Lytechinus pictus: one gene and its partners. The protein of the gene in region 1 purifies or fractionates together with the protein of each later gene. This does not show direct contact. Links are inferred from orthologs where the notes say so. Each region holds a gene or a part of one and is shown on either strand. Other genes may lie near its edges.

Region 1 (6,948 bases):
TTAAACCATTTATACCCCTTCCCATTGAATATGCCTGATTAAAAAATATGTTTCTACTGAAAATAAAATAATACAAACTAAAGGATATAAAATGCCATTCCCAGAAGGTAAGTGAAAATTATTTGCTTGGCTTTTAATTATATTCCAGTCAGAATAGACTGTTGCCACAGCTGTTAACAAATATTCGTAATGGCTTCTTAATTTTCCCCTTTTTCCCATGTTTATATTAATTTTGTTTTATTCATTTTTCTTTCACTTTCTTTTTTTTTTTCTCTCTAATTTTTTCTTTTCTTTTTTTCCCTGTTCTTTGTTTTTTCTTTCTTTTGTTTTATTTCACTTATTTCTTTTCTTTTCTTTTTCTTTTTGTAATATACTTTTTGAAAATTATTTTCATTTGTTTCCCCCTTTTATGCATTGTTCTAATTTTGCAGAATATTTTTCTGTGATTTTCTCCTGCTATAATATACTGCAAAAGGGAAAACAGAAATAAAATGGATTTGGGGCCTGCATAATTTAGGTTTTAGGATTCAAAGAGGAAGAAATGAAAAACCATAGTTTTGTACATCTATCTGTGTTTGCTATGCACTATTTATTTACTTTACCATTATGAGTGTGTGTGTCTATACAGAGATTTAAAAAAAGTCCACACAACCTGGGAACAATAAAATTCATTTATTCTCTTTCAATCATTTCATTTTTACAATGATAGAAACAATTTATATTTTACCACAAGCCAATTAGCAAAGTAAAATAACAGCAAACAAGGTTTACATACAAGATGATAAAGTGGAAGTAACTTAGTGGTAGTGGCTGCAGAATTAATATTTCAGAAGTTTGTTTTATCAATTTTTAATGTGTTTCTTTATATTTTTCGGGCCACCAAACTTTAATATCGGGCCACCAAAAAAAAATTATTTGATGGTTTTGGTGGCCCGAACGGGCCACCACCAAAAAAAGTTAATGTGGAGCCTTGGTATAGGTATGTTACAAAAGTGAATGAAGCATTGAGTGTGCTGCCTATAATTGCAGGGTGACTGTGGGGGCATTGCTTTGTATTGTGTTTGCATGTGCAAGGAAAGTTATTCCCCATAACATCATTGTTTTTACGTAGTTGAATGTTTATGGCAGCTGTCTAGACTTGAAAAAATATCACTCGGTGATCTTGCGACCCTGTGTGCTACTGGAAATTTGGCCTTGCTTTCAACCTCTTGCTATTTATATTTACAGGTATCATCCCACTCTAAAAGGTATTTATTCCGATAGAACAACATTTCAACTCCATTGCGGTGAAATTTGAAAGAGATCTACTGACGCTAAGTGTGTTTTTTATGTCCCTGTTTCGGCGGCGTCTGTAATTTTGGGGAGTGTTGTTGGGCACTTCCATATGCCAATGTATGTTGTTTTCTAGTATTAGTGCACCTTGGTCCCCAATTAAGGTCACAACTTTTGTTTTAAAAAACAAAGGAATACATAAGAATTGAAGGGGCGATTTGTACGAACTTAAAACTACCATAACTTTCTTGTTACTACTGGGGCCATTAAAATGAATGAGGTATTAAATTAGGCACTTCAGGTGAAAATTAGGAAAGGCTGTTCCAGCATGTTTGATATGCTCACAATGAGGCTCAATATCTACGATTCACAAAACTGTTTGAATTTTCAAATTCGGATGTCTAAAAGTCAAACCGATCGCGATCGCATGCGATGATTTGAAATCAGCCGTGAATAATACGTGTGAGGAGAAAGATACTGGCCCAAAATCACAAATTTTGAGGATAACCGGAGGATGGACACGGAGTGAAATACGGGTGTAGAGTAAGATATTAAGTCAATCATCTTTTTCGTTATATTTTTTTTGTTTAATTTTTATGATTATCATGATTGCCATCCCACCTTCATCAGTAGAGGCGCACGGCCAATATGGGAGACTCTCTCCAATAGGGGAGACAATCTCCCACATTGGAGCCTTGCTTTGCAAAAGGACAAAAGAAACAACACCAACAAAAGCATGATTTTTTTCCACCCAAAATTTTGTCTCACTGAGATCAGAAGCCCATTTGTTTTGTGTGTGATTGACAACAAAAATCCTTATCAAAACAAAAGTAGACGGTGAATTTTTAAAGTAGACGGTGAAAAGGGGTAATTTTTCATGAGGAATCTGCTTATCACATTTTCATTTGCCGCCAAGGTAATCCTTTTGCAGCAAATGTAAACAAAGGAAATTGGACTCCAAAACTGGAGACTGTCTCTGAAATTGGATACCCAAATTCTTTACAAAAGTCTCTGATATTGGAGATAATCTCCCACATTGGAGACAGTCTCCAATATTGGCCGTGCGCCTCTACTGTTCATGACCTTTGTGACTCGGTATATCCGAAATGGTTCACGGTCCCGATGTTCGGGTAGGTGGAGCGTAGTGTAGCGGTAGTGAAGTGGAGCCTGCACGAACATCGCCTGAGGTAGGATGTGACATGTGGCAGCCAAAGCCAAGGCTAATTTTAAAACTAAAAAGTAAAACTAAAATTTTTACTCAAAAGTCAAAAAGAAAAGGCAAGCTACTCTAGGTTAGGCCTAAAGCAAAAGGCTAAACACAAATACCCAGGATTTAGGATTACCTGCGAGGGTCCTTGTTTATGAGGACAGTTTTTACATGTACAACCATTACAATAAGATTTCATTTCAGGGTAGATCTACTCAAGAAAACCGTAATTAGAAACCGAGTTTCATTTCGTACAGTCCCACTCATTGACAATAAAGTCATTAAAATGACTTCGATCGTCAATGGATTCGCATAATTGACACGATGATCATCACGCTAATATATTGATTATATACAAAAATTTAACAATGCATGTTAAGATAACATATCGAGCATACTCATAAATTTTCAAATTACGACGAGAATATTAAGATGTGTTCGAAATAAAGCGATTGTTCTTACATCTTGACTGGGACCGAAGGACGCAGCAAACGCTACTTTCTTTGGCCAGAACGAGCGCCCTCTAGCAGCAGTATAATTATAGGACCCCTTTTTTTTTCATCATCGATGCGATTTGGAGGTAGTCTACAATTGTAGACCCACATCTGCAGTGTGTGTATCACAGCTGATTCAAGGAGTCTGCATAGCAGACTAGGTCTACTAGAGCCTGCAGATCTGAAATGGCTCGCTTCGCTCGCCCTTTCAGGCTGGTTTGCTTCGCAAACCAGCTGCAGATCCCACTTCACGAGCCATTCAGAGTCTGCATAGCAGACTAATTTGGAGGGGCGCGGCGGCTAAATCACTGAACTAAAAATACGTATCTCTAGTTCAGTGGGCTAAATGCTATAGTCTGCTGTGCAAACCCTTCACTCGAGTAAAGGGTCTGAATTGCAGCCTACCTACTCATGCCTTGTGTATATACTGAAGGCCCTCTCGCGCTCAACAGCAAGTTTTATATGTGCTAGTCTTTGCGTAGAGACACACTGAAAGTTTCAATCAGGGTCTGTGCTAGACAGCTGGCAGCCGTCTGTTTCGAGGAGGTTTTTTACATTTTTAATTTTTTTAATTTCTCCTCGTACACATTTGGTGAGTGAAGCCAACTAAAACGGAGTTCAGCTGAACAACCAACATAACGGAGACCGAAGCTTTTGGTCTAGGTCTAGTCTGTGCCTGCAGACTAGCTATAGGTCGCGGAAGGCAGAACGGCTGTGAAAGGGGGGGGGGTGGGGGGGGGACCATGCAAAAATAACAATGCGACGGTAATTTTTATGTTTTTGTACACGGTTTTGGAAAAAAAAGTGGGGGCTAAAGCCAACCCAGCCCCCTCCTCCCTCGTTTCGCGGCCCCCGGTCTGTCCAGATTTATCGGATTGATTTTCTCTTGACTACACCGAGATGACTCCATTTCAGTAAAAAAAAAATGCGGGAAAAAGTAATAAGTTGCATACAGGGAAATAGGCCTGAGAACATATAAGCCTGTATGTAAATACATCATTGATTACGGTTTCAACAAAGAACAGAGGAAAACCTCTCACTAATAGTGATGAATAACAACAACAATTAACAAGAACAAACTAATATTAGATAATGATGATAACAATAAAAATGGTGATGAAAATCCCGGGATGAAAATAATAATAATAAAGATGATGATGGTGAAAGTAATATTAATAATAATAACAATAATGATAATAGTAGGCCTAATTCTTAATAAATCTTAGGCCGACTTTATAGATTCAGTGACAAATAAATTTCAAGGTATATAAAGATAGAACGTAACGCAAAAAGTAGTATGACAAATCAATTCTTCGATCTTCTTCTTCTTTTTCTTCTTCTTAATTCTTCTTCCTTTCTTCTTCTTCTTCTTTATGTATTTATCTATGTTTATCTGTTATTTTGTGAGAGTGGACATAGAGTTCTGTGATTGTCTTAATTGTCGCATCACAAATTAAGCCATGTGTTAATTGTGCAACAAAATTTTGAACATGGAGCATTCCATTAGAAGCTTTTCAGGGTCCTTTGCTGGGGTGCTGAAGTAAATTTGACGAGCAAAAAAAAAAGTTTCATTACAAAATGAAGGTCGTTTTGGTCCCTAGAAAAAAGTCATTTTCCTTACATTTCCAAATTCGCTACATCTTCCAGAATTCAGCTAGGAGGTGCTGAACTTTAGCATCCCCGCTTCGCAGGGCCATCATGGGCGGAAATCCCAGGGGGGACAGGGGGACGCGTCCTCCCTACCCAAAATAGTATGGGGACACAATATTTGATTTGATTTGATTTATTTTATTTCCACATTTCAAAACAAAAACAAAAAATATACAAGTATAATATTTTTTTTTCAATATTACATAATAGGCAAATATTTTTTTAAACATAATGAATAATGCACATAAATCATTATAAAATATCAACTGGACTGTGAAATTATATCTATATATATACATTTTCTTTAATTACTGAACATATATATATAGAAATGTGGGAGACCTCCATCTTAAGCTTGGAGCTTGAAAGTGATGGAGGCCTCGAAATATCAAAATGTTGATCCCCCTACTTTTTTTGTATGATGGAAAGAAATACATAATTCAAAATTGAAATAAAACATGTATTTTGGACGAGATGACCTTACTTTTTGGGTGATAACCTTCTTTTCTTTTTTTTTTTTTTTGCTTGTAAAATTTATTTTGGTCGAAGTGACCTTACATTTGGGGTGATAAACTTTTTTTAATTTTTTTTTGCTTAATTGTCAAATTTTCCAGCCCCTGGTCCCCTATACCTTCCGGGAGAGATTTCCGCCCTTGAGGGCCATGAAAAACTTGTTGCCTAATTTGGTCGGTCTAGACTCCTTCAAATGAATCTGAAAACATATTTAAAATCACAGAAATTTTAAATTCTTGGAAATGTTGGAATATATTATCATTATATATTTATATCCGAGTAATTCCCAGTAATTCCTCCTCGATCTGTAGGATTGCTTTTTGTGGGGGTAAATCGCGGGGAGATCATCATCGGTGTTCGCGCCCTCATCGATAGAGATACAATAATTGTACATTTGCTTTAACCGTGCCCGTGGATTTTGTGATCGTGAGGAGAATTCCTATTAAAATTCTGCCAAAATGGGGAGACGATCGATCAATACCACGAAAAGTGGGAAGTATATGAATCCTACTGATCAAGCAAGTAAGTAAATTTTGTGTAAATCATGCTGAAGAAATGAGAATGCGTGAGTGCTTCGGGATGGATTGGGACAATCTATTTTTATTAAGGCCTGGTCCCACACGCAGATAAATATGCATTGTTATGCCTGGCGGTATCAATGATAGAACCAATGCCATTTGCCATTGGCAATGCCAATCGAAATCGAGATGCTAATGCAAATGGCAATGCCAGTGGTGCTAATGCAGTTTTGCACCGGCCGACTTCGAGCTAATTCCCCACCAGCATGACCAGAATTGTTTGCAAATATGATGATTGATGGCAAGTCTCTCACTCTCAGAGTCAGACTCGGTCACATCCGATTCCGAAGACGAAGTCAATAAAAATATGTCCACCGCTTGTCCAGCTTGTGACCTTGTCCTGAGTCTGAGATATCGCGATCGGGAAAGGCTGTATTTCGGCTCCAATCTCGACGTTATCTTTTTTTTTTTAGTAGGTCTACTTGGCTTTGCCGTAATTTTGACATGGATTGAAGTTAGTGACCAAAAGATTTGTCTGCGGCAGCACACCTGTTTATTTGCCGCATGTTTGCATGATTTTGGTCGCTAACTTCAGTTTAAATAAAAATTATGGCGAAGCAATGTCTGACTGAGAATTTGCACAATGATGATGAGATTGAAGCTGAAATACAGCTTCAAAACCTAATTTTGGCTTTAACCTCTCATGAATTTAGGGCATGTTCTGTAATTCTTGGGACATGGAGCTGGCTTGGATTGGATGGATTTCTGTTAAATCTTGATGTTAGCATTAGCCCTTTAAAATAAAGACTTTAGAGGACAATTAAACATTTATTTTACAATTGTATATTTTATTTTCACAGGGAAGGAAGCAAGAAAGAGGGAATTAAAGAAGGCAAGTACTTTAATAACCTTGTAGTTTAGTAAATATGGGGTCTCATGGTTTCCTCCCCTTGCCTCCTTCTTGACTGGATAAATTATATTGATATAAAACTAAAACAAGTCGTTTTGATCACTTACACCTCAGTGTGTCTCTGACTACACATTGTCACATACTGTGTAAGTGATTACAAAGTCTTTCATTTTGTTCTGACTTCTGTACATGTTCATGTATGGGACAAGTGTTTCCATGAATTAATAATAAATCATTCAAATTTAAATATTTCATGTTGTAAAGCATATCAGATTTCAAATATAAATTAGAAGAGACTGACTCATGGCATGAATTGATATGTTCTTAGAGCTACTGATAATATTCCATAGAAACCTGTGAAGTTCACCCTCACTGTGTCAAAAC
Region 2 (7,139 bases), on another chromosome or scaffold:
TCCACAAATCAGATGTATCCCCTTGCAATCCCATGTATAAACCGTCTAGCTGGGTAAGGATATTAGGAATTTCCCCCTCTTAGAATGCTTAGTCCCACTTGATGGTGTTAGATGTATGTTACCAGCCACATGCGCTATGATGGGGCAACATGAAGGAGCGTTTCCCGCCAAGAATAGTCATGCTCCTTTCGGGAGATTGAGAAGTGATACAGAACAACCCATGACGAGAAAGACCTGTTTTATACACTCTCAAATGATTAATAATAATACATGATATTTAAAAGGCGCTTTATAGACCCCTGTTAGACCCCAAAATGTAACCCCTAAACTTACAAATACGCCCACAAAATAACATACAAACAATTTACCCACAAAGTAATGTAAGAATTAGTGCTTTGGAAGCGCACGGAGACGTTATATCAACATGATCAAAATGTGATATGCGCAATGCAAAAACTGTTCATCAATGTTATAATTATTTTCGCATCTAATGTTTCTTCAATTACAAACGCTGCACAAATTACATTTGATTCAAGTCAAACTTGGATTGTCATCTATAAAAACCAATATAAAAACGCCGATTAAAAATTAACAACAATTAAATTCGCTTATGACAGTTGGTTCATGTATGTAAATGATTTGTTTAACTTTTGCATTATAGTCTTAAGAAGATTGCTAAATTTTCATTTCCTGTCAGGGTTTTTGGTTCAATTAACTGTTATGAATAATATTAGTCTGTTTATTTTCTTGTTTCAAATTTATTAAGTATCATAATTATTATCATATTAAATGTAACACAAAATCATACATTCATACAGACCATTTTACCCGATATTGGGTAAATTTTTCCGCGTTACATTTGTTTGATTTTTCTATATTGATTCAAATCAACATTTTTTCTGGGGTGAACTTGACCTTTAAACGAAATCAGTCAATTGCAGAAGTACCTGTCTCCAAATCAAAGACAACAACAACAAACTTTCTAGATTTATATTTTTTCTTCTCTCTCTCTCATCTCGCTAGGTGAATCATAATTCAATAGGGCATAACATTGACTTAATATTGTTGTCGCATTATGAAGCGTATGTCGTATAGAGTCTGTGTAAAATCCAAGTAAACAGAAGGTGATAAAGGTAAAGTGTTAACGGTCAAGTCCACCCAGAAAAATGTTGATTTGAATCGAAAGATAAAAATCAAACAAGGATATTGCTGAAAATGTCATCAAAATCGGATGAAAAATAAGAATTTCATCAAAATCGGATGTAAAATAAGAAAGTTTTGATAACTTTCTTATTTTTCATCCGATTTTGATGAAATTTTCAGCGTTATATTTGTTTGACTTTTCTCTATTGATTCAAATCAAAATTTCTCCGGGGGTGAACTTGACCTTTAAACGAAATCTGTCAAGAAATAAGAACGTTATGGCTGTTTGAGCAGGGAGTTGGGAGAGATCCCCAAGACTATTATGTACTATCTAAAAAAAAAGGTTTACCCAATATTGGGTAAAATGCTGGTTGGGTAAAAAGATACCAAATATTTTGTAAATTTTACGCAATGTTGCATTGAAATAGCCCGATGTGGGGTAGAAAAATACCAGCAAACATGCATGTTCCCTTTTTACCCAAAATTGGGTAAAATATTACTCGGTGTTTTTACAATGTAATTTTTTAACTTGGCATATATAGTAAATCATTAGAAGTTGTAGGGACAACTTTCCATATACCTTCACTTAATATCAGGGATTTTTGGTTTCCTCTAAGTATCTATTCCCTTGGGGCAGTAATCAAAATACAATACAGGTAGCATATTGTTTTATGTTTTCATGAATGTAAAATATAATTTGAAGTCAAACTTTTAAAAATAAATTTGTCATCTTATTATTGAATTAGAAAGAGTAGTGATTGCCTTAATTACATCACTATGACATCACCAATTTGGCCAATTTGAAATTCCGTAGATTGAAAGTCAATCTGATAGAGTGTGGTCAGGGACTAATCTAAAATTGGATCAAGTTTCAATCGAATAAGATTGAATTCTAAATGTATTAGATTAAAAACTTTAATAAAAATTCGGATTTGTTCCTGATCACAATCTACTTCCATCTAAGAAATTTAGAGTATACCAATTTGCACAACTATAAAAGAAATCTTTTTAATCGTTTGTCTGATATAGTTCAAACTTTTGCCTATCTTCTTGTCTGATTTTTCTTTTTCCTCTAAAAAAACCTTTTAATTTGGTCCCCAGTTAAGTTGGACCTCTGAAAAGTCATGCTAGGCAAAGTGACAATAAGTTCACTTAGGAGCAACCGCGATTAAGAAAAATGTAATTTTCTTGTCTACTACTCTTTCTTTTTAATAAACACTTCTAAAATTACATAAATGTTATAATATAAACCAAGAATTACCAAAATATCTAAATAAGTAATAACTTTGCTGGTTACGAAAATAGGTCTCAAGTTTGCGATGTATAGGCTATAGATCTAATTCCCCGCTAAATAGAGGTCACTAATTCCAACAAACCATCCAATGTTGAAACTCACCATATTCATCACCATGCAGAACACGACTTAGAGCCAGATGAAGTGGGGTATCCCCCTTGGAGTCCTGAATTTCTGAGCTTGCCCCGAGTCTCATCAGCAGCCGGACAATCTTCTCGTGCCCGGCAGCGCAGGCAATGTGAAGCGGCGTCCGATGGAGCTGATCCCGGTGTCGAATTTGATTTAGATCAAGAAGGGCATGTTTCTTTAGGTATGATTTCACTTTTAAAACTTCCCCTTCCCTGATGTAGTCCAGAAGTTTCTCCTCTGTAGATTTCCCCATGGCTAGCTTAAGCCAAAGCGGCTCGAAAAAAGAACAAATGTATTCAACAGCAAGCAATAACAGATTTGCCTTCACTGAGAGCAGACGACCTATTGCCAAATTTACAATTACCTCGCAATTTAAATTTGTGACTAATCTCTAAAATCCTTTCGCGCGTGTGCAGCCGTGGACATAACGCGACATACAGTGCGTGCATCTCGCTGAAGATGAGCAATGCACTGGGTATCTTTTTAACTAAGAGGGCGGACATTAATATTTCATTTTCATAATACAGTCCGACCTCTCTTATCCGGCCTCCCCTTATCCGGATCTCTCTATTATCCGGACGCACACTTGCCGAGATTTTTTTTCAATTCAATTTTATTAGTACGTGAGGAAATGAGATTGCAATCTAAACTCAATCCTATACGCAAACTCACTTTGATTAAATATATTTTCCAGTGTAGTCTACCTAAAACAACATTATTTTTCATGAAAATATCTCACCCAAATCACCAAAAGAATTTAGGCAGGATAATTTTCCAGTAAATCGGGGTGCAGTGTAAACATTTCATCACGTTCTCTTGTTGTTTCCCCGGGAAAAACAACACATGTTCGCTAGCTAATGCTCGGCCTCAATATTAATACGGACAGCTCAGCGCCATCTATCATGTTTGAGCCTACAGTCAGTATAACAATGGCTGACATTGCGAAGCTGCGATAGCGGCCGCGATGATCTAATTGTAAAACTTACTTTCATCGAGTCATTCATTCTCTCTCTTTCGAGGTATGCTCGATTTATACCTCAATCATTTTAGCAGGTAAATTATCCAACAGTTTTGGCCATCGTTCGATTTCATTTCCGTAAAAATTACCGCCTATAATTTGCACTGACACTGCAGTGAATACATGTCTGTACCGTACGCCCGGCCCACAACAATAGATAACGTGTAGCTAGCTACCGCCGCGTTGCGGGGATCGAGGCCGCAGCTTGCGTGTATTTAATATTGGGTCTCCCAGATCCGGATAAATCCCTTATCCGGATTGGTGCTGGTCCCAATGTGTCCGGATAAGAGAGGTCGGACTGTACATGTATAATTTTCAACAAAATACAAATAAAATAATCATATTGCCATTAGTACTCCTCATACACATCTTCGGGGTTTGATTGAACAAGTAAATAGTGTAGGCCTACCCAAGATGGCGAATACAGGAGCCGCGGAACGGTTTTCAAAGTGGGGGGCTGACCATGCTAAAAATCACAATCATATGGTCATTTTTACGTTTTTGTACACGGTTTTGGAAAATAGTGGGGGGGGGGGGCCTGGAATAGTATGCTGTGCAAAGCCTTCACTCGAGTTGAAGGGTCTGAATACACAGCCTACAATGACACGTAACATCAAGTTTTGTCTTTTGTGAAGATCCACTTGTTGATCAAAGTTTCAATCAGGGTCTGTGCTGCAGACTAGGTGAAGTCAGTTACTAATGATACTATTATGAAATGCTTATGATGTTAAAAAGCGAATATTATTTTTTACTTCCATCACATTTATCATTTGCAACGGTTTGCTAATACAAAATATTCAGAAAATGTGTCATTATATTCTTTGCAGGAAAGAGTTCTTGAACTTCTCTATAGGGTATGGGCATGCAGGGCTTAGAATGCTTATTATTTATATTTCTGGAAATTGAATAAGGTACGGAGTGTATTCAAGGCGTTTAAATCCAAGAAAGGGTTAGGTGGGGGAATACACATCGAACAAAGACAAAATACGGACCGATGTTCACAAGGACTATAGGCTTACGAAATTAATTTCAACTTTGTTAAGGAATTGGAGCCGACTTCGTGTAAACTCGCCCACTACATCATAGACCCCTAAGTTCGAGCGTCCTTTTTAGGGGCGGATACATCCCCCCTTTGAGGACAATTTCGTTTGCTTGTTAGAAAAGTTGTGGCCCCCTTTTCTTGTAAAATTGTACCCCTGGGAGGCTTCACTTTTTTCAAAAACCGTGTACAAAAACATAAAATCGACCATATGATTGTGATTTTTTGCATGGTCAGCCCCCCCACTTTGAAAACCGTTCCGCGGCCCCTGTAGTTTAAAAATGCCAAGTAGCACAATTCATATTTTTGCTCGGTCGCTGCGCTCCCTCACGTGGAAGTAACTGACATTCATGTTTGGGAGGTTGACTCACTGCTCACTAGTTCTACCAAGATAGAAAATTCACCTAATTGAAAGACGACTACAAAGTAACATTTTGATTTGCATATTGTAATTTTATTATTTGGCGTTTCAACAATATACATTGAAAGGTAAAAAAGATTTTGATTGTTGACCATACAAGTCCAAGGCGACTGAAAAGTGAAAGAAATATTCTAAAACTATTGTTGCCCATTTGCTTTCTACCATGGCCTAGATATTGAAAAATACAAGTCCAAGATTCGTAGCATGATTTTAAGTCTTCAAAACAGATTTCTTTTTTTCGTAGCCTAGCGAAGCCAGAAATCTGTTTCAAGCCTTTAAATATTGCATGCTGTCACTGAGAAGCCGTTCTTAATCCCATTGCTGAGGAATTGTCTCATTAAAAAATTACAAATAATTTTTTCATATAGAGCTTGAATTCTCGACGCATTGTGTTATCAAAATGCACTCCTTATGATATCGAGATTGAAATTCTCAAGCTCAGGGTGTGGGATAAAAAGAGAGAACGACTGGCCTCGCGTACATTGTGTAGGCGGTTGATGTCTTATTGGCGTCGATTCGGCAGACTGACAACCATATGATAAGGGCTTACTCTGTTTTGGGGGCTTTGAATCAGACTAACAATCTGAATTTGACTAAACCTGCGGCAAGAGTACTGGTGCCATGAGCCTAATTACATCAGGACGGCTAAAGATATTCATTCGACCCAACCCATTCGAATTTTTTAAATTTGATAGTGCTGATTGACAAAAGTGTATGAATATGATTCAAAATCTAACACTGATTCTAGAAATGGTAACTACTGAAATTCCTTTGCCCAAATTGGGAAGATATATCAATGATTTGGAACAATTTTTTGACTGGCGGAAGAATTGGGGCTATTTTACTGTTTCAGTTGATGAATTTGATCCCATCATAGTTAACTTCATAAATGACGATTTATTTTTAAAATGAGCTGGCTACGATACCCTTCTCTGGTCAGATATGGAATGTCAGATATATATCCTATCCAAAATTAGTAAACATTCGACCCTCTAATTTCACATTTATTTTTTATGAATTTTTCTTAAGTGTCATTTTAACACACAAGTCTATGGGGAATGTTTTACGCGCGTGAGACCTATATGTAATACAGGCGAGTTCCCTATAGTGGATGGAATACCTGCCCAAACTCCTCAGTAGCAAACAATTTCTAACTGATATCAATATGTTTAGTCATCAAGTGGTGCAAAAAATGGATTTAATGGCTTAGCAAGGCTATATATCAGGTAAAGTTAGTAGGTATGTGTATGTAAGCCTAGGAATGCATATAGACTGGTCAATGAGAGTCTATAGGCCTCTTTATGTTTTGATTCATCATTGGTTTGTGCTAGTGTATGATCACCTACTTAATGTTAGAAAGACCTTTACAAATTGCTCATGTTAAAATTGTTCTTTGGAATGGGGTAGAGAGGAAATAGAACTTTGTGAACTTTACTGAAGAGAACTAGAGTGGTACCTTCAAGAAGGTATTTAGAAAAAGGCACAGAGTAAGGTAAGGTATCTAATAGTGCTCAACTAAGGAGGGAGGGGGGGGGGGGGTGGCTGACGGTGTGCTCCAATCTTAGTCTAGTCCCCCCTCTTTATAAGCCATGCTATCTATCAAATTATCTTTCTTTCTTTTTTTCTCTCTCTGTCTCTTTTTCTATCTATTTATGTATCTCTTCCTTCTTACATCTGATAGGCAATAGCCCTAGGAAGATTTTGATATAATAGGTCAAGTCCAAATGTACTAAAGTAATATGTTCTCATTCTTTTATTGTTTCCTCGTTCAATCTCATGTATATCTGGTAATTATGTTTGGGGCAGTTCTGGTATTCTGATATCTACACAAAATTTACATACACCTTTATATTACAAGGAGAATAGGGGCCTATATATATTGTCATTGCATTCACTCATTGGGCTATATGCAGGTAGGATAGGTAGACATCCATATAGTGAATATAACATGTATGAGTAACACATTAAAATGGGTCATTGCATAGAAAATAGGCATTTTCAATGCATTTCTTTGTGCTAGTGTGAGTTTACAGATATAAAAGAATAGCAAAGTAGCTATTTAAAAAAATAAAATTCATAGGTCATATAATATAGG
Region 3 (7,267 bases), on another chromosome or scaffold:
TACAGATTAAAAGTATATCCTGCCTTCCAAGAATCAACCAGTAATTCATGGCCAATATCGATTACAATTTTATAAGACGATTAAAAACTCATCCCATCAAGGTGTCATCCATAAAATGAGAGTTGTTTTGTTTACTTTCTAGGACTGTCTTCATATCAAGTTTGATAACAAGTCTGTAGGCTGTGGGGTGATAAATCTGACAAAAGAGATGGTGAGCTAGGGGTACAGATCTATTTATCTCAATCTACATCACAGGCATGAGCCTTTAGCTTAACCTAAGCTACACAAGGAAGTTACAACTTGATGCAGAGTTACAACTTGATGCAGAGGTCCAAGGTTCTACAAAGAAGAGGTATAATGCATTTAGAACACTTCTTTCTGCCATTGATTGCTCTTGGTCGAGTGGTAAAAGGCGTCAAGTAAGAACTCTTAAAGCTGTACTGTCAGACTGGTAAGGGTTCGAATCTCACCCTGTTTGATGATTAATTGTATCAATTTTTTCAGTTGTAAATAGAAATAGCATTTATTCTGTTGAAAATAGACTTGACAACTGTAAATTTTGGCAAAAAACAAGAAAATTGACTAAATATTCATTTGGTCTAGCTGATTAAATGGCAGCTGGGCATAGAGCCATACAATGTACAGTAGGCCCTAATCACTCCTAGTACCAATGAGGTCAATACATAACAGTATTGACCTCATAGGTGACAATAGTGCATATACAAATTGGTGCATGCAACCACAGTAAACACACTGATGACGACAAGGCTTGTAGCGGGGTGAGCTGTCTAGTGATTTTATTATTTTTTTCTTTTCTAAATTTAATTATGAACTTTTGAGTGAAATTAGTTATTGCATATTGCAGAGTAGATATCACAAATTTATCTAAGGTAAAAATTTTGAATAAATATCTGTGGAGTTTGGGTATGTGCCGCGGAGGGGACCCCCATTTTTACACTCAAATTTCCGTTCCAAGGCATAGCATTTTTATCTTAGTGAGAAAAAGAACAAAGAAAGCCGCTCCAAAGCAAAACATTTTCTTCTTATCGAGAAAAAAAGAATAGAGAAATCCGTTCCAAAGCTTCGCATAATTTTCGTTACGCCGTTCCGGCCGCATTGATCTGCTACAATGAGCTGCAATTTTGGTGAAAAGCAGCCGCAGAGCGCTTTCCGACCATCGCCTCTGCGAGAGCGCACCCGGTGGCTGGGCAAGCTGCATGCGCGTATGCCCGTTCCATAGAGATGCATACGCACTCACACGCAGGCGACCCGTTCCAAGGACCCCCGTTTTCACAAACATTTGTTGCTCCGAAGCCCGTTCCGAGGACCCTCCTTTTTACAATAAGCCCGCTCCAAGGCCCCCGTTTTTTGTTTCGACCGCGGCACATACTTACCACTTTTTTGGTCGAGTACCCCCACCCCCCCCCCCCCCCCCCGGATGGTTTTGGGAAGCGCATTCCACGCAGTCACTGTCCTGGGAAAATAGGACCAGTGTGTGTGTGTGTGTGTATTTGAGTTTTGTCAGACGTGTATCAATCAGATATGATTATTTACGTCTGGGACCGACCTTTAACGTCACCATCCGAAAGACGTGACCAGGGCTCGAACCTCGAACCTCTGCATCAATTTGTAACTTCCCCACAGCTTGGATTACAGGCGCACGCCACAACGCCCAGTGCTGTATTACCAGTGGTAGATTTATGGTGGCTGGGCCCCTTTGCAAAATATTTGTGAAACAAAGGAATTGCAGAAATCTAACAAGCTTAAAAGCCTTAAAAAAAAAAGACTTAAGTTATGGTAACGATTTCAAAATGAGTTCGTACAGAATCCAATGAAACGACCACCAAAGTGTCTGTTTGTATAAATAAAACATATGTGCCAAAGCCAAGGATTCTGGAAGAAATTGTATAATTGCTGAGAAATTAGCAAATAAGCTTGGGATTCGGGTCAAGCGTCGGGCCGACATTCAAAGCAATAATAATACACTGTCCCACGTGCACTTATTATCTGTGTTGGTGATCTTCAGTGTGAACATTTTTCAGCGTAGATTTCAAGATTTCACAAAGTTCAGTTAATGTAACTGTACCAGATCTAGGTCCTCGATGATAAAGTGACAATTAAGCCTGGTTTTACTGACTTTTTCGTGAAATCAGTGTTTACTGCAACTACTTTCATTTATCTTTAAAAAAATTTAGCTAATTTTTAGGCTAATAATAAAGTTTTTAAAAAGTCATGAATATTTTTTCAAAATGCAAACTTCCTAACAACATTACTCATTAGACCCTAACCTGTAAACCATGGCATGGGCAGCTTAATCATGCAGATCTATAGTCTTGCAGCAATCAGCAAGTTATCTCTGACCATAATGGATGAAAATGGAATAGAAAACATTTACAAAACATTTCACAACAAACGCAATGTCAATGAGACAGAGAAGGCAATCACATCCAACCACACAAAAATTGATATACACGGGACTACACTGGCAAATAAACATTTAAACTTTACTCTATCAGAGTATTTCCATTATTTACAACAATCTCTAAATATAAGTCAGTCGGAATTGGATTGGTATTAAAGTTATTTTGGGGTACCTTCAATAATATAAATTAGTTATAAGGAGTCAAATTTCAGATCTTACGAGTATTGTTGAGGCGGAATCAGCGATCAATCCAAAGGTCAAAAGGCTTTTCCACACATCCGGTCGGCCGGCTGGATCGGCGCGCGCAAAACAAAACTGTGTTGTTTCTGTTGTTTGATGATTGAAATTTACCGCGACTGGAATCCCTACTGACAATTTCTTGCTGTATCAAATTCAAAGAGTCAAAGTCATTTCTCAAATTATTATCGCAGACTACCACATGCAGATGTACTCCCATGAGCGGAGGAGGAAGTAATAACAAGACTTAAGTTGAAGTTCAGTTGAACTTGTCTCAGACTCAGGCCAGGGCGCGAGGGACAACGCGAGCTCCCTCCTCTCGATCGCGCCGCGCCTGTCGGGCCCGGTCCGGTCCTACATTAGTACATACATGTACACCTGACATGGTCCTGGGTCGTCATTTCACCCCGGGTACAAACTGATCAAGCTCAACGAATCATTGGCCGCACCGCAGTACTATAAAGCAAGGTAGATCTACTAATACATAACTATGACTTTTATCATTAAGTTGATCCTAGGAAATTGTTATCAACTTAAAGTTAAATAATTTAATCAAGCAATTAAATTTAAGCCAACGTTGGCAACAAATCTCACTCAGCAAAATTTAGTTAAGATTTGAATTTAACTTTTAAGAATGTTCGTTGGACGTTACTTAACAATAACATGCTTAACGTTACTTAACAGGCTTAACGTTAGATCTAAGCAATATTATTTAGACTTAGGCTAGACTTAGAGAACAAAATTGAAGAAAATTGCAACTAGCTAGTCTATCAGCTATCAATCATGCCATGGAAATTTGAATTCATATATTTTTTTGTAGATCTTTAACAGTTAGGCCTAGATCTAATAGTAATACAAATTAAGACAAAAAAAGGAGGCTTTAAAGTTTTAAAGTGTCCAGACACCTCACCCCCACCCCCATTCTACTAAACTAGTCGTTTTGATCTTTATCACTACGTAAACTTAAAGACATTACGACTTGAGACTATTTCAATTTGCATGCCGATGGAAGACAGTACAATTGCCATTGCAAGATAACACATTTTTTAAAACTCAATCACATGTTTTGATAGCAATGGCAGGTGAGGATTATGGAGACGACCTTGATGCTCTCACTTCACTCCTTGATGACGAAGATGATGCGGATCCATATGATAGCGGTGATCCTTTCTCAGTAAAGAGCGAACACTCGCAGCAAGTGTCACAAGCAGTCAAGAAGCAAGGTACCAGTCATGAAAGGAAAAAAAGATCCGTTGGATCCAGTCAGAGCAGTGGGGATGATGAAAAGTCAAAAGAAGAGTTGATAGGTAGGCCTGCTTGTTCTTTTTTTATTAATGTTTAAGCATTCTAAGAGATTATAATTATAATAATATATAAATAATATAGGATTTGTGTAGTGCACGTATCCACCTTGCTAGGTGCTCAAGGCGCTCCTATATTCCCCGGACAATCTAGTCTACCGATTCTGGTGCGCACAGCTTTGTGAGGAATTACTTCCTGCCGGCACCCATTTACCTCACCTGGGTCGAGTGCAGCACAGTGTGGATAAATTTCTTGCTGAAAGAAAACACGCCATGGCTGGGATTCGAACTCACTGTTTGAAAGGCGAGAGTCAGAACCACTAGACCACGACGCGCCCACTTATGAGGGGAGTATTAAAAAGCTCTCCTAAAACTTTTAAGGGGAGCACTGCAAAAAGCTCTTCTTTGACATACAAATGGAGCTGTTTTGTCCGATTACAAAATGGATGGAGGAATGAACACTAAATTGCAACCAACAACCAAAGGAGATAGAAAAAATCAGATGCCCTTATATGCTTTTCACACTGCATTTCCTTAATCCCATACTATCCTTAACCCCATACTATCTTTTTTTCGATTCACACTGTCTTTCTTAACCCCATACTATCTGCTTAGCCGGGGCTAATGCCTTAACCCGGACTATCCCTCAGCTCATGAATATTGATGATTTTACCATACAGAGCGTGATTAACGTGCAATTCGACTTCTGTGATTGGCTAATGCTTAGCCCCACTTTCCTTAGCCCTGTTTTGTTTTCACACTGCATCTCTTAGCACCGCAATTGTGGTGCTAGCACCACAATAAGCCGGCTAATCCTGCTTTTTTGCAGGGCCAGATAGTACCATACTATTTACCGTGCTAGCCCACTTTGCTAAAACGTAGTGTGAAAACGAAGTGGGCTAAGCTTAACCCCAGGAAATTGGTGGGGCTAAGACCCCCCCTTAGCCCCACCAATTTCCCAGGGTCAAGGAAAAAAGTGCAGTGTGAAAAGCATATTAATATATATACAATATTTATCTCATTTCAAGTGTGTGTTATTGCTTAAATATACTTGTGTAATTGTGTCTTATTTGTAAAACCTTGACTGAGAATAAGGTTGGCACTAACAGTTCAATCATTGACTGACACTCGTTCTACATTCAGGTTAAGTGATGTCAGAATAGAGATTATACATGGAAGTAAAATGTTGTATACATAATACAAAGTGTACATGTGTGATTTTGCTTGATTTCTAGTTTTACTGCATTTATAATTTTATGTCACAAAAATACATTTCGCTTAGGCGAGCGATAAATCGCGCTACCTGAAATGGATGGAGGCGAGTGGTAGCGAGTGATCACTCTCGCTCCCCTTAAAACTGAGTCCCTGCATTCTGTGAGGGAAAATCTGTATTTTTATATGCATGATTGTTTATTTTTTTTTTAAATAGTATTTCTGACTTTCTGTAGAGTTGGTATTTGAAACTTTGCTGATACATGTTGCTGAAACTTTCCACTCTCTCTGTCTCTCTCCTTTAACATCATGGCATGGTATAATTCTTTGCGCCTGTTGATTTACTCTACAGAGGAACTGCAAAGGTTGCGAGAGCAGATGGTTCAGATGAACGGAGGTACCCCCACTTCATCACAGAGTAGCTGTCCAACCAAGCCTTGTCCTAAAAAAGAAACCTTTTCAAATGCACTCTTTGCTGACCGAACACCAAAGCGAAAGCAAAAGAAAGATTCTTCGATTCCAGCCAAGAAGGAATCTCACAATATAAGTAAGTCTCATGTAGCAGTGCCTCAGTTTTTTCTGCAGTCATTTCAGTTTCCACTTAATTAATGAGTTCAGGTTGCAAACTTTATTAAGTGCAGTAAAATACTTAGAAGTGTGGATTAGGTGTGTTATGTAGTCTACAGAACTGCAAGTTTAACCCTTGGTAGTTTACCAGCCACCAGCACATTGGTTTATCATACTTTGTCCATGAAAATTTCTTTTGGGCCCACTTCAGAAAGAGCTTAATTATAGTAATTTTGCCTTAATAGTAACTACCATGGAAAACTTGATTTTGATTGGTTGATGATCTCTTTTTCTATCTTTGCCATTCTTAAATTGTTTTCTGCCTATGAAAACAAATTGTACAGTGCGTCTCGCAAAAAAGGAAACCTGTTTTCAGAGATAGATTTCACAATTATTAAACATGTTTTTAGTTTACTATGAATTTGATACTTATGTTAAGAGTGGAATCTCATCTTTAATGTAAGACCCACAGCTTGGCACATCATTCATGCATGTTAGATTACAAACAATAAATATTGAGGCCTATCAGAAACGATTTGTGCAGAAACTCACGAGTTAATCTGAATCCACTCTTATTTCAGGGATCAGTCAGAGAAACTGAACAAAGAATACAAAAGAAATGCTAATTAGCCAATCGTTGAATAAGCACCGTGTCGTATCATGAACCAATCTTGTCCAAACTTTCTGCGCAACTTGATTTTGGCATTAAAATTTCAAACTCGTCTTGCTCATTACTGCATGGAGTGTTTGTCACATAGTAGGTATTAATATGTAGCGGAATAATTGAATTGTATGATGATGTAAATGAAATATCATAATTAATTTGCCTTTGAAGAAAAAAGATGTTGGAAACCCGGTTTCCTTTTTTCTGGGACGCACTGTATACTGGTAATTGCAATTTGTTTAAAAGGACTTTCAAACGAACTGTTCCAGATTAACAATCTGCTTTTCTATAGTGGAACTTGATGGAGAATAAATGATTTAGTGAACAGTTGTATATCAGATGCTCATATAATTATCTTCATCAATATTTCTTCTTCTTTTTTGTAGATTATGAAGATTTTGATAACGAAGACGGACTGTCAGACTTGTTTGATGATGAGATGGAGGTTGAAGATGAAGAGAAGAAAGATGTCCGCAAAGTGACGCCACAAAAGGCCGAGTCCCTCTTCAAGAAGACCAATAAACGTCATGCTCACACCCCTCAGACTGCAACAGCTCCTCCTAAGAAAGGTTTGTATTTCATTAACCAACCTTGTATCCAAACTTAGTCTAGTCTGTTATTTTCTTAACTAAAACTCAGAAAAGTTAAAGTTAATAGCATATCTCTTGTATGATATTCAAATATGTCAAAAGTTCAGCAGCTTTTCATGATTAGTTTATAACCAGAAGTATGCATGTCACAGTTCTTCAGATGCCTTATTATATACTGGCTAATACTGCTAAAGTGTCTCAAATTTTTTTTTTTTAATGAAGTCTCATCAGTATTCAGTTTATCTTATACCTTATCACTTTTATGTATAATATT
Region 4 (7,087 bases), about 6.4 Mb from region 1:
ATAATACAGAAAAAACAAGATCACCAGCAAAATTGTTCACCATATGGAGCTGATGTAATAGTGACAAAATTAAATCAGCAGTTATGAATTTAAAAACAAAACGATAATAGAAAATGACAAGTAAGTCTATTATCATCATCATCACCCTCATCATGCATCATCATTATCATCATCACAGGAGCCGCGGAACGGTTTTCAAAGGGGGGGGGGGCTGATCATGCAAAAAATCACAATCATATGGTCATTTTTACGTTTTTGAACATGGTTTTGGAAAAAAGTGGGGAGGCTGAAGCCCCCCCCCCCCCCCTCTTCCGCGGCCCCTGCATCATCATCATAAAAAAGATTAGATCTACTGTTATTAAAATTATCGTGATTATTGTTATTACATATATCTATTAGGTCTATCACCATCTTCCTCGTAAAAGGAAATATTGAACAATGATTTTATACTCTCTTTGAAGTTATTTCACAGAGATTAATTTTAGACGTGGGTTAATTAATTCGGCGCAGTGAAGTATGAATCACTATGTAGCGAATGGAAGCTAAATTGGTAAAATTGACAAAATTGACAAAATAACGTTTATCGATGTCTTCAGTTTTTTTAGGATCGTATGTTGCCTATTTAACAACTTTGATCAATGAACTTAAATTATAATTTTTCCAAATATGTTTATTGTCACACAAATAATTATTAAATTACATATCTTATATAATTATAAAGGTAACAAAGTTCTAAATGTAATTTTTTGAGTTGTTTTTGTCATATAATGAAACACTAGTCTTGACAATCTTCTCAAATCGCCCTTTCACGTAGCTAACACGTTCATTCATCAGCGCGCGCTTGCTGACGGTGAACAAACCTTGCGCTATTCTATCGACGTTTTATATCGTCGCGGAAAGGAGGAAAGCGCGGGGGTATGTAATAGTTGTCTACAACCAAGCAACCGAAAAACTAAGGAGAATATAGGATAATGGTTGAAGAATGTCATCAAGGCACTTCCCAATACAAAATGTGAGCCAAAAACTACACCATATTTTTGCTACCGAGAGTTTGGTTTCTATTTTTCCTGGCTATACGGGTAAGATCCCGGAATATAGACCGTCGATAAATCTCATATAGGCATTGTACTCCAGGCTGAATCATGATTTGAACAGATAAGGAAAATCAGACAAAAACAAAAAACAAACACTGGACATTTCATCACATCGATCGGGAAAAATATGAAATTGTAGGCCTATTCTTATTTGGGTGTAAATAAAACGGTTAATGCATATATGCATGAATACGGCAAGCTAATGGTGCCATTCCTTTGTTATATAAAGAGTATTCATTTCTTAAAACTTAATTTGTCCACCAAGAATGAAAAAAAAATGTATTGGTTCAAGAATATAGTAACTGCTGAAACTACCGGAATCGAGAACTAGGATAGATCTAATGTAATTATGTAAGTAAAGTGAAAGTGCATGGGGACCGTAATCATAACAATAATGCCTGAATATTGCATTATTATTCTTGACAGCGAGATCAATCGGCGTAATATGAATCAAGGATTTTTATCCCAAAAGGAGCTAAATCAACATTTTTTTATAGCGGTTCTAAGAATTAGACTGTAGCACGCAGAGGAGGGTCCAGGATTTTCCAAAAGGGGGCCCATTTTCCCCGAAGAAAGATTTGACAAGCCAAAAAAAAAAAAAGGTTTTTAACCGAAATTTAGGACATTTCGTCCACGAAAATGTTTGACAAAAAAAAAGGGTCTTCACTTTCAAAGGGGGGGGGGCACGTACACTCCTGTTTTAACGGTATTTTTACATTACAAATTTTAATTGTGCCTCTCAGGGGGGGGGGGGGGGCACGGGCCAGCTTTGCCCCCCCCCCCCTGGATCCGCCAGTGGCCCATGTATAGGCCTATCGAATCATTTAGCTATATGATCAGATTCAGATTCATTTATTGTTGATCCATGATAAAATACATAGAAATTTGGCCTCCACTGGCTGTACATACAAAATGATATAAAGTATATATAACAAACACAAACGACGTATACATTGGGCAAATTATATTGCAATACAACATAGTAGGGAGATGTCAAATAATTTACCCATTAAAGACAAAGAGTGAGAAACGGCTGAGAGTTAACTAAGAGATAGATGGAAGAGATCATGCAAGCAAGAAGAGAAAGAATTAGTTGGATAGAAACAAAAGTGGACACAGTGGAGAAGGAAAGTAAGCGAAGAAGATAGAGGGAAATCATAGCAGGGAGAGACAGAGAGAGAGAGAGAGGGAGAGAAAAAAGCTTAAACGGAATGATAATTAGGCAAAAATCGGGAAAGGTACGTCTGCCGGTGCAGGTGCATGAGCCCCTATTAGTGGTATCGTTTCACTTTTTATTTTTGAGTCTTTTTTAGATTAATAAAAAATTGTGCACACTGGTGATGTTTGAATGTTTTGATCGTTATACATGAATCAATGCATCAATTTTTATCCATTTATAATTACTCCTCATAATGGAACCTAAATATTTATACTTAATTTATTAAACCGAAACATAAAATTCAATCAAATACAAGAAAGTATCTGACGACATAATCAGTTCCCTTATTTCTCAACGCCCAACTTTAGTACTCAAGTTTAATTACAGATATTATTCGATTAAAGGACAAGTCCACCCCATATATTGTTTATTTGAATCAATACAGAAAAATCCAATAAGAAGAACGCTGAAAATTTCATCAAAATCGGATGAAAAATTAAAAAGTTACCTGTGACATTTTCAAATTTCGTTTATTGTTCCACAAAACAATTAGGCCTATTATGCACAACACAGTGACTTGCAAATGAGAAAGTCGATGAAGTCCAGCATCGTCTACTTCTTGTTTTATTGTTTGAAATTATTATACAGTATTCTAATTTTTACAGATTTGACAATATAAGGACCCATGGCAACTTGATTGAACCATTAATATTAGCCTTTGCGCGCTGATGCTGCAATATTGCACATTCGTATACAATTAAATTCAGCATGGGCGGAAATCCCAGGGGGGACGTGTCCCCCCTACTCAAAATAGTAGGGGGGACACAATATCAAATGCCCCCCTACTATTTGTGGTCTATGATGGTAAGAAATACATCATTCAAAATCGAAATAAACCATGTATTTTAGGACGAGATGACCTTACTTTTGGGATGATAAGGCCTTTTTTTTTTTTGCTTGTCAAACAAATTTTCCTGCCCCTTGTCCCCCCTACCTTTTGGGAAAGATTTCCGCCCCTAAAATTCAGCAATCGTAATCCCCCTCCCGTATAAGTATCAATGGTGCAATATGGAAATCTTGAATTAAAGAAAATAACATAATATATAATTATATCCCCCAAGATTATTAATTAAGTGTGCAAATAGTTAATAAACAATGGTAACAATTAATGATGATTATTTTTTTCAGTGATATGCTTGTGCAACCAGTCACTTTGATTTGCTAATAGTATGTTATATTGATTATCTTGTCAAATTCAGGGGCGGATCCATGATTTTCCAAAAGGGGCCGATTTTCCGATGAAAATTTGACAAGCAAAGAAAAAGGTTTTCACCTAAAATCGGAGGTCATTTCGTCCGCGGTATTTTGAAAAGCAAAAAAAAAAAAAAAAAAGAAGAGTCCTCACTTTCCAACTGGGCTCCCAAAGTGCTCAAATTAGGATAAGCTAGTAGGCCTAAATATCATAACCCGGGTTTCAACTGAATTGCAATATGGGCCTAAAACATATAGGAACATATAGGCCGGCCGGGGCGCGGCCGCAGTGTTGTTGCGGAATAAACCCGTAGCTTATTTTAATTCGATTACGCGTTAGCTAGGTTTTTATACAAATTAATTATTTAGGGAGGAATAATTCATGAAACAGGCCCTATTAGACCAAGGCCTATTCATGAATTTCCTGTCGAGCTCGGGGCCTGTCAAGATCGACCCCCTCCCCCCCCCCCGTGCTTTCGAACATGGACCTATGTTTCGAAGGAGACGGATATGGATCTGACACAAGGATTCGTAGCGCAATAAAAATAAACGATCGTGCGCGCGCGTTCATGCGGTATTTTAATGGAGAGCTTGGAGTTGGATTGATAATTCGTGAAAGATTTATTTTCCGAAGAAATACGAAATTCTGTTTAATAAGAATTAAAAAAACACAGTTGATAAATATTTTGTGGAGTATTTGTGGTCGTCAACATGTCGGCCCAAGAACAGATGCGGAAAATGCTCGATGAGCTGATGGGAACGTCCCGAAATGGTAAGATCTCAAACCTAGTAAAGTCGAACTCGAACTGCCCGAGTGGACTGCTAACGTAACGAGTAACGTTAGCTGCTGCTCGCGCTCGCAAGCTCGACGCGTCTACACTGTCACTGGTGGAAGTGGTACACAAGCACCGGGCAGGCCGATATCGGGGTGAGAAGACTGCCCGCGGCACGTCAGGTGTGTTGGGCCAAGCGCTAGCAGTAGCACTGTAGCAGGCGCAGCTCAAAACAGGTCATAAGAACCGCAATTTGTTATGGGATCTAAAAGGGGGCAAGCAAGCTAGCTGCGCGGACTGTCAAGTGTGCATAGCTATAAGCTAGCAATAGCAATTAGCATGCTTGCCCCCTTTTCGATCCCAGGCAATGAGGGCGGCATTGAGGCATAACGTTAACGCATTGGGTATACCAACGCATTGGCCATGGCATTGGCATTGCGGTTCTGCATGATTATACTATATTACCCAAAAATTAAGATTATAATAAATATTGCCTATTTTATTGGCGAATGATATTGATACATCAAATGAAAGTTCTTTGCATTAGAAATGCAGCAACAAAAAAATTAAGAAAATTCGACCATTCGTTAAGGAGTTATGGGTAATTAAAGATCAAATTTTTAAAACGCATTCTGCTGCAAGCCGCATAGTGTGATGCCTCAAAATTTTTTGCGATAAACAATTCATGTTTGAAAATTGCTCCATGTCATTCCAAGAATATTTTCCCCCAAGTCTTGCGCGACTTTTGAGTCCAAATTTACAATGCTCGGGTATGCGGTTTTAAAATTACGCAACATTTCGTAGTCCATGTCAGCCCCCAAAATGCAGAAATACGTGATTTAACCCTTTCCACGCGTACTTTGCACCAATGCACATTCGGTGCCGTGCGAACTTCGCATTTCACACTCAGCAAACAATGCATTGTTTCCCTCCCTGAAAATAATTCAGTACAGATGGGTTCATGGTCCAGCGCACAAAGAGTTAATTTTCAAAAGCGAAAAAATATGTAAGAAAACGTCTTTGGTATCCATTGTTTTTTAAGAAAAGTTGTTAGAAATGCCATGAAGCATATGTACAGCAAAAATTAGCACTCTACAAGCTGTAATTAATGAATTAAAACAGAATTTATGATTTTATGAATAAATTAGCATGTAATTAGCCCAGGGGGGGGGGGTACTCGACCAAAAAAGTGGTAGGTATGTGCCGCGGGCGAGACAAAAACCGGGGGCCTTGGAGCAGACTTATTGTAAAAAGGAGGGTCCTCGGAACAGGCTTCGGAACTACATGTACAATCAAATGTTTGTGAAAACGGGGGTCCTTGGAACGGTCGCCTGCGTGTGCATCCCTATGGAACGGGCATACGTGTATGCTGCTAGCCCAGCGGCACGGGCGCCAGGTGCACTCGCGCAGAGGCGATGGTCGGACAGGGCTCTGCGGCCGCTTTTCACCAAAATTGCAGCTCGTTGTGGCGGATCAATGTGACCGGAACGGCGTAACGAAAAATATGCGAAGCTTTGCCAGAGCGGATTTCTTCTTTTCTCTCGATAAGAAAAAAATGCTATGCTTCGGAGCGGCTTTCTTAGTTCTTTTTCTCAATAAGATGAAAATGCTATGCCCTGGCCTGAGTGTAAAAATGGGGTCCCCTCCGCGGCACATACCCACTATGCATTATATACTGAGTGCCCCCCCCTCCCCGGGGTAATTAGTTCATATAAAATGAAGTATATACATGTAAATATATATATTCAGTGAAGTTTAGCTCAACAATCAAGTAGTTAATGTCATTTTTCTACCATCTTGTAAATTTTTGTTGCCATATCATGATCTTTGGCAGAGAAATGGGGAGGGGGGGGGAGTATATGCTAATTTATTCATGAGATTATGTTTTTGGCTGCTACTCCCAACACTCATAAATTTGCAAGTTGCACTGTACATGTATCTCTATGACTCCAGCAATGCTGAATGATGTGTGGATATGCTGTGTGCGCATGTGTCATATGATTCACGAGAGTGGCTGAATTGCTGTATGAAGTGGGGAGATCCAGGCTTATGAGGGGAGAGCAAAAGATATGAAATGTGGTTGTGTTTATTGTGTATTACAAGCTGTGGAACTGTAAGCTTTTTTGTTCAAAGGCTGCAGTATTTGAAAAGAGATATACCCCTTCCATCCCTGATGTAACCCATTTGCTATCAAAAAATATAAATTTGAAGAGGGGGCTAAATAATACCCCCTTTGTCTCCTTTGGCTTCACACCCGATGATTGCACATGACTTGTTTTGTATTTATGCATGCACACACACACGCCACGTGTAGATTACATGTACATGTTCTACCGGCCGTGACCACTGCACTTATGGGCAGCCAAAAGGGCCAAAATTAACAATCTCAAAAATAAAGAACTCTCCTAAATAAATGTAGTATCTCAGAAATATTTCATTTCATATATTGGTTTCTGCAACACTTTTTCATAAACACATTAACAAAGAAAATGCAATAATAATATACATATAACTGACAAGCAGAACATTGAACAAAATTGCATTTTCTATTAAAACATATCGGTTTTTAGAAGGTTGCAGGGGTTGCCACTATAAGCTAAGCTTGACTGCGTGGCAACCCCAGTAACATTCAGAAATGAATACATTACTTTGGACGACTATGTAGTATATAAGTCAGAAATAAAAGTATTTAACCAGAAATTGATATAATTGAGAAATAAATTGTTTATCTCAAAATTTATGGATATTTTTTTGTCTGGACATGTTTTAAAGTGTTTTGGGGTGTTATTATTGTTAAAGGACAAGTCCAT

Evidence for each region.
Region 2: the proteins of RNA-binding protein with serine-rich domain 1-like (region 1) and NF-kappa-B inhibitor-like protein 1 purify together in Homo sapiens (co-immunoprecipitation; 3 studies listed by BioGRID and IntAct, with this or other methods). This does not show direct contact. The link is inferred for Lytechinus pictus from reciprocal best matches to the Homo sapiens genes RNPS1 and NFKBIL1.
Region 3: the proteins of RNA-binding protein with serine-rich domain 1-like (region 1) and regulator of nonsense transcripts 2-like purify together in Homo sapiens (co-immunoprecipitation; 5 studies listed by BioGRID and IntAct, with this or other methods). This does not show direct contact. The link is inferred for Lytechinus pictus from reciprocal best matches to the Homo sapiens genes RNPS1 and UPF2.
Region 4: the proteins of RNA-binding protein with serine-rich domain 1-like (region 1) and putative RNA-binding protein Luc7-like 2 purify together in Homo sapiens (affinity purification with mass spectrometry; 3 studies listed by BioGRID and IntAct, counting the BioPlex papers as one, with this or other methods). This does not show direct contact. The link is inferred for Lytechinus pictus from reciprocal best matches to the Homo sapiens genes RNPS1 and LUC7L.

What each region holds. Positions count from the first base shown.
Region 1 is NC_087254.1:22,810,676-22,817,623, reverse strand, and holds the start of RNA-binding protein with serine-rich domain 1-like, read right to left. Parts: upstream 3,029-6,948; 5' UTR 2,944-3,028; coding exon 2,942-2,943; intron 1-2,941. Other genes in the region: WW domain-binding protein 11-like, read left to right, coding at 5,595-5,658, 6,515-6,546. UniProt on the Homo sapiens protein: Part of pre- and post-splicing multiprotein mRNP complexes. Auxiliary component of the splicing-dependent multiprotein exon junction complex (EJC) deposited at splice junction on mRNAs.
Region 2 is NC_087259.1:27,514,654-27,521,792, reverse strand, and holds the start of NF-kappa-B inhibitor-like protein 1, read right to left. Parts: upstream 3,008-7,139; 5' UTR 2,820-3,007; coding exon 2,540-2,819; intron 1-2,539. UniProt on the Homo sapiens protein: Involved in the regulation of innate immune response. Acts as negative regulator of Toll-like receptor and interferon-regulatory factor (IRF) signaling pathways.
Region 3 is NC_087247.1:9,488,338-9,495,604, forward strand, and holds the start of regulator of nonsense transcripts 2-like, read right to left. Parts: upstream 3,026-7,267; 5' UTR 2,642-3,025; intron 1-2,641. Other genes in the region: protein MCM10 homolog, read left to right, coding at 3,735-3,966, 5,525-5,719, 6,790-6,972. UniProt on the Homo sapiens protein: Involved in nonsense-mediated decay (NMD) of mRNAs containing premature stop codons by associating with the nuclear exon junction complex (EJC).
Region 4 is NC_087254.1:29,257,594-29,264,680, forward strand, and holds the start of putative RNA-binding protein Luc7-like 2, read left to right. Parts: upstream 1-4,069; 5' UTR 4,070-4,215; coding exon 4,216-4,276; intron 4,277-7,087. UniProt on the Homo sapiens protein: May bind to RNA via its Arg/Ser-rich domain.